Linked DNA regions of Mus musculus. The protein of the gene in region 2 purifies or fractionates together with the protein of the main gene of each other region. This does not show direct contact. Links are inferred from orthologs where the notes say so. Each region holds a gene or a part of one and is shown on either strand. Other genes may lie near its edges.

What was found.
Region 1: the proteins of Bsg (region 2) and Atp2b4 purify together in Homo sapiens (affinity purification with mass spectrometry; 3 studies listed by BioGRID and IntAct, counting the BioPlex papers as one, with this or other methods). This does not show direct contact. The link is inferred for Mus musculus from reciprocal best matches to the Homo sapiens genes BSG and ATP2B4.

Annotation. Positions count from the first base shown.
Region 1 is NC_000067.6:133,729,580-133,733,399, reverse strand, and holds part of Atp2b4 (plasma membrane calcium-transporting ATPase 4), read left to right. Parts: intron 1-959; coding exon 960-1,174; intron 1,175-1,494; coding exon 1,495-1,737; intron 1,738-2,789; coding exon 2,790-3,031; intron 3,032-3,451; coding exon 3,452-3,683; intron 3,684-3,820. UniProt on the Homo sapiens protein: Calcium/calmodulin-regulated and magnesium-dependent enzyme that catalyzes the hydrolysis of ATP coupled with the transport of calcium out of the cell. By regulating sperm cell calcium homeostasis, may play a role in sperm motility.
Region 2 is NC_000076.6:79,709,727-79,712,607, forward strand, and holds the end of Bsg (basigin isoform 1 precursor), read left to right. Parts: coding exon 1-101; intron 102-331; coding exon 332-414; intron 415-533; coding exon 534-676; intron 677-911; coding exon 912-1,194; intron 1,195-1,529; coding exon 1,530-1,554; intron 1,555-1,767; coding exon 1,768-1,831; 3' UTR 1,832-2,253; downstream 2,254-2,881.

The DNA.
Region 1 (3,820 bases), on a different chromosome or scaffold from region 2:
CAAAGCCGTAAGCTACTAAGTGGGCAGACGCAGTTGCTGCTCGGTAAATTCTGGAATGCAATCATAAAATGTAGGCCACCTTGTTAACGGAACAGAAGCAAGCAGCGGCCGCCAGTCCGTGTGTGGCTGTAGCTGACACACAGTCCCCTTCAGACGTTGCAGTTTATTAGAAGAAAGGGCCTCAAGGCCATGACTCAGTAAGAGAAGGAGCATCAGGCCCAATCTCTGAACAAATCTCAAGAACAAAGGAAAAAATTAAAAATGGGGGGGACGGGACGACTATGTCAGGAAGCTTCACACTGAGGGATTTAACGTTCAATGTAGCACGCATGATACAGAGCGCTCAAGTCTCTGTGGCCTGCTTCTTAGTTCTCTGTGGGCGGTGGGGTGGGCCTAGTTCTCTGAGTGGAGGTGCAACCTGATCTCTTCGCCTTGTGGAATGCAGCCATTTAAAAGTAAGGATCATCTTTTAGGAGGAAGCGGGCGTTCCTAGCGTACTCTACTCTCTTTTTTGTTTGTTTGTTTTATTTGGTCGGGTTTTAGGGGTTTGGGGGATGGAGGGGTAAATTAAGCTGGGCTGAACTTATGATCATCCTGCCTCGTCTCTTACGTGCTGAAATTACAGATTTATGCCACCATAACCCAGCAAGCCCTCTTATTTATGACTGAAGTTAAATTAGCAACTCAACCCATAGAGGTTTAACAACTAACACAAGGATATGAGTCAGGTTGGTGATGGGCTAAGAATAAAATCTGTATCTTTGATATCTTTGGAACCACTGTGATTAAAGACTTTGTTTTTTAAAAAACAAAACAAACAAACAAAAAAACCCTCTAATGTCATTGTATGCAAGCAACAGAATGGGGAGAAGATTTTAATATAAAGCTTATAGCTTTAAAAATTCTAGAAAGAGCAGAGCAAGCTGACCCCTGTCTGTGTGTCTTGTTGCCCTGGACAGGTCTGATCATGTCTGTCCTCACAGTTGTCATCTTGATTCTGTACTTTGTGGTTGACAATTTCGTGATCCAGCGCCGAGAATGGCTTCCTGAGTGCACTCCTGTCTATATCCAGTATTTTGTCAAGTTCTTCATCATCGGAGTCACTGTATTGGTAGTGGCTGTGCCAGAGGGGCTGCCACTGGCTGTCACCATCTCACTAGCCTACTCTGTAAAGGTAAGCCTGGAAAAATGCTGCTCCTTCGGGACAGAGACGGAAAGGGAGGGGACCTTATACCGTTCGACTGAAGGATAAACTCTTCTGCCCTTTAGACACTTTAGAGAGTCCCCCATGAACAGAAATCCTTAGCTCTGGAAAAATAGCCATTTCCGTTGGTTGTTTAAATAGCTGAGTCAAATCTTCAAGTAATGGTGCAGTGCATCTTTGTGCAGGACTAGAACTCAAGTGAAAAAATGTGGACTAGGACTTAGCCTTCGGCCTGCGCCTGTGGGAACCCCGTTGGTCCTCTTTCAACTCCTTTCTCTTTCCTTTGGTAGAAAATGATGAAGGACAACAACTTGGTACGGCACTTGGATGCTTGTGAGACAATGGGCAATGCCACAGCCATTTGCTCCGATAAGACAGGCACACTGACCATGAACCGCATGACCGTGGTGCAAGCTTACATCGGGGGCACTCACTACCGCCAGATCCCACAGCCCGACGTCTTCCCACCCAAGGTTCTGGAGCTCATCGTCAATGGCATCTCTATCAACTGTGCTTACACGTCTAAGATTCAGGTAAGCTTTGCCATCCATCGCCTGGGTGCCCAGCATGGGTGACGGAGAAGCAATACTCAACTCTGCCAGAAACAAATCTTCTGTTCCACTTACTTTTCTATGGCTGTGCTCGTACACCATGACCAAAGCAACTTATAGAAGAAGGTGTTTAGGGGCTGGCGAGATGGCTCAGTGGGTAAGAGCACCCGGCTGCTCTTCCGAAGGTCCAGAGTTCAAATCCCAGCAACCACATGGTGGCTCACAACCATCCCTTACGAGATCTGACTCCCTCTTCTGGAGTGTCTGAAGACAGCTACAGTGTACTTACATATAATCAATAAATAAATCTTTAAAAAAAAAAAAAAAAAAGAAGAAGGTGTTTAGTGGAGGGCTTACAGTTTCCGAGGGTTAGAACTCAATGACTATCATGACGGGAAACGTGGCAGCAGGCAGGCAAGCATAGCGCTGGAGCAGTTGCTGAGGGCTCACAGCTCCATCCACAAGCAAGAGGCAGAGAGCACACTGGGGAGGACATGAGTGTGTTTGAGACCTCAAAGACCCCCCAACACCCATTGACATACCTACTCCAACTAGGGCTTACCCCCAATCCTTCCCAAACAGTTCTGCCAACTGAGGACCTAGTATTCAAATATATGAGCGTGTGGGGGCCATGCAGGCTCAACCCACCATACCCTCTATCATTCATCGTCTGAGCTGCCATCCTGCATTCTGTTTCCTGTTCCTGACTGAACATGTTCGGGGTAAACATATGGCAGTGTCTACAGCAGAGTTGCACTTACCCAGATTTAATTATTCATTTCCCAGAACCAGGGAATTCTTTAGAATATGACTTCCAGGACATGAGACACCTCATTACCATAGAGTAGCTGTAAGGTCCCAAGACCTGTTTGACTGTGAGACAATGTCACCTTTGAAAGAACAGCAAATGGTGCCTCCCCTGTGGGCACTGGTATACCTACCGAGTTGACCTGCCCAAGTCTTCTCTCTGGTCCAGAGCTCTCACCCATTAATTCTATGTCTGTTTTTGTTTCTGTTTTTCTTTTCTCTCTTAGCCTCCAGAAAAGGAGGGAGGCCTACCCCGACAAGTAGGCAACAAGACAGAGTGTGGGCTGCTGGGCTTTGTCACAGACCTGAAGCAGGACTACCAAGCAGTTCGCAATGAGGTGCCTGAGGAGAAGCTCTTTAAGGTGTACACCTTCAACTCAGTGCGCAAGTCCATGAGCACTGTCATCAGGAAGCCGGAAGGGGGCTTCCGCATGTTCAGCAAGGGCGCCTCTGAGATAATGCTGCGCAGGTGAGCCCCCTTCCTCCCGTTTTCCCCTTTGAGATCCCCATCCCCTCCCAAGAATGTCTGAGGGACGATGCCAAAGCAGGCTGAAGGATGAGTGACCCTGCAGCCCGGTAGTGACATCTGAGCTTTTACTCAGGACAATCATTGCTTTTAGGAACTTTGCTGACTCCTTTAATAAACCCTCACACCTCGGCAAGGTGGTGACCCATTTTGACCCGTTTTACAGATGGGAAATAAACACAGTGAACTTGCACAATGTTCTCAGAGAGAGAGCAGCTAACAGTGCCACAGTCAGGATTCAGCCTGGACCAGCCTGACTCTCCCATTTCCTAGTGAGTTCACAGAGGTAGTCAGGATATGCCCCATGCCACCATGCTCAAAGGAGCTGGTGAGCATACGATAACCATGTGCCTCTCTCCCCAGGTGTGATCGAATCCTGAACAAGGAAGGAGAAATCAAATCGTTCAGAAGTAAGGACCGAGATAATATGGTACGCAATGTCATTGAGCCCATGGCCAGTGAAGGGCTCCGGACTATCTGCTTAGCTTACCGAGATTTTGATGGCACAGAGCCCTCGTGGGACATTGAGGGTGAAATCCTCACTTCGCTGATCTGCATTGCAGTGGTGGGCATTGAGGATCCTGTGCGCCCGGAGGTAAGGCCTGCCCGTTTTTTGAAGTGAAGAGAAAGGGCCAGAAAGCAGGAGCGCTTGTCTCTCCGCTGACCACTGCTTAGGGTCCAGGGTCCAGTGTAAACCACACGAGCCACCTCGGGGGGTCACAGGAAGCAGGT
Region 2 (2,881 bases):
TCTTTGAACAGCAGTGGCGTTGACATCGTTGGCCACCGCTGGATGAGAGGTGGCAAGGTACTGCAGGAGGACACTCTGCCCGACCTGCATACGAAGTACATGTGAGTCCACAGTGCTCAAAGGACCCTGTCCTGATGCTGTCCATGGGGACCTGCCTCCATCCTGACGTGTAGCAGTGCCAGGCTCCACACAGCTCTGGATTGGCTGGGTGGCCTTACCTGTATAGCGTGAGAGAGCCCAAGGCCCTATGATCTGCACAGAGAGCCCTGGTGGGGAGGTGGCCACCATGCCTTGGGAGTTCCTTACCTCACCGAGGCTCTGTCCCCTGCAGAGTGGACGCAGATGACCGCTCTGGGGAATATTCCTGCATCTTCCTTCCTGAGCCTGTGGGCAGAAGCGAGATCAATGTGGAAGGTAATCTGTGGGAGTGGTGGGGGCGGGCCAGGAGGTGGCTGGCGTGAAGGCCAGGGACTGGTGTTGGGGCTGAGAGCAGTCTACAACGTGCTTGGGCATCAGGGTTCTCATCCTCACAGGGCCACCCAGGATCAAGGTCGGAAAGAAATCAGAGCATTCCAGTGAGGGAGAGCTTGCGAAACTGGTCTGCAAGTCCGATGCATCCTACCCTCCTATTACAGATTGGTTCTGGTTTAAGACCTCTGACACTGGGGAAGAAGAGGTAAGGGCTGTGAGGCTAAGGACATGGAGCTTGAGTGGTGCCAAGGACCAGGCTGCAGTGGGAGCATGAGGTTCTGGACATGGGGGTAGGGGAGGCGGCAGAAGGGGCACCGGGTGCTAGGAATGGGAGTGGGGATAAGAGCATCAGAGGGGACACAGGAGAGGACGCTTTGGTGTGGGGATCTGGGACAGTGTAGGACAGACTCTAGCATGACATGACAAGCCCTTCTCCCTAGGCAATCACCAATAGCACTGAAGCCAATGGCAAGTATGTGGTGGTATCCACGCCTGAGAAGTCACAGCTGACCATCAGCAACCTTGACGTAAATGTTGACCCTGGCACCTACGTGTGTAATGCCACCAACGCCCAGGGCACTACTCGGGAAACCATCTCACTGCGTGTGCGGAGCCGCATGGCAGCCCTCTGGCCCTTCCTAGGCATCGTGGCTGAGGTCCTGGTGTTGGTTACCATCATCTTTATCTATGAGAAGAGGCGGAAGCCAGACCAGACCCTGGACGGTGAGCAGTCCTGGGTCTGGGTGAGTGGGTGGGATGCCCTCAGTGTGTCCACCTGGAGGAGAGTGGGGTCTGCTTGTAGCTCACCCTCCTCCTTCCTCCATCACTTGGCCACAAGCTGCTGTCCTCTGGGGAGCTCGCTGTGAGGACTTGGGGCTGTGGGTGCCTCTAGCTGTACACTGCATGGCGAGCTGGGGTAGGATGTGTTGGCCTCACCATGTGTTGATCATCTGATGTACGACACTTCTGCAGCACCATGAGGGTGGCAGTGTGGGGCCAAGTTCACACGAGCCCTGACACATGTCCTTTCTCTTTCATGTGGCTGCTCCTGGCTGCAGAGGATGACCCTGGCGCCGCCCCACTGTAAGTCCAGCCACTGTGGGCTCTGGGGAGCTAGCTGTGTGTCCTATAGAAATGGGGGATGCTCTGGGACTCAATGTGTGTGTCCATCTTTCATAGGCCTCAGTAAGTTCAGGGAAGGTGGATGGCTGCTGTTGAAATAATGGCCAGATTTCAGTGGGGTTGAGGCCAGCCCTGTGCCTGTTAAGAGTAATGAGCCCTGTTTTGTATCCCCAGGAAGGGCAGTGGAACTCACATGAATGACAAGGACAAGAATGTACGCCAGAGGAACGCCACCTGAGTGGTGGGGCAGGCGGGGGAGGGGAGGTGCCCAGGGTGCCTGACCCCAGGCCAGCGTCTACCTCCACTCCAGTATCCCATCCTGTCCCGATTTGAACCTACCCAACCCAACCTATCCCAACCCAAGTGAAGACAGAGCCTTACCTTACAGAAAACCCACCTGGAAGAAGCAAGCCACTTGCAGCCCCTGTTTCTAATTTAAACTAAATGAGGTTTCTATGCAGACAATCCATTCCTTAGGGGTTTATGTTTTTATTTTTCCTTCCCTTCTGAAGTGTTGTCACTACAGCCCTGTGGAGTGGGGGAATGGGGCCTTGTCCTTGGTCAGGAGGGAAGGCCAGTGCATGCTCTGACTTACTGTTGGAGGGGGCTGGGCCTGCTGGAACCCCCCCAAATAAAGACCTACCCCACCATGTGTGTGTCACTACTTGAAACTTCAGGACCCCATCTTAAAGGGAGAATGAGTGTTGAGGTCATATACAGGAGGGGTTGTTGATCAGCACGGCCTGGGGCACAGGTAAGTGCATGGTCCCTAGACCAGTGGTTCTCAACCTTCCTAATGTTCTGAACCTTTAATATAGGATATCTGGTGTGACCCCTTTGAAAAGGTTCTTCAACAGCACCCCCTAGGGGTCCTTAGAAGTTGAACCTGCAGGTACAGCCTTAGTCCTCATGGGTGTCCAAGAAAAGCTGTCTTCATAAGAACACTGCTGACCACCACTGATGTCCTGTACAAGCCTAGTACTGATCTGGCTGGTGGGCACCAGTGGGAAATGGGCAGTCAAGGGACTTGCTGGCTGGTTTTAACTCTTAAATTTTGGGCAGGGGTCAGGACAGGTGTATGTGGTGGTATAGTCTGACTCCAGAGAGACAGCTTTGATCCCAGCAGAGTACATCCCAGAGTGGTGGTGGTTAAGGGAGAGAAGTCGGGGGGGGGGGGGGGGGGGGAGGCGGGGCGATAGCAGACCTTTCTGAAGACTCCCTGAGGTAAAACAGGCCCTCCGCTTCAGGCCAAGGAAAAATTCCTCAGACACCTCCCTGGCCTTCCAGC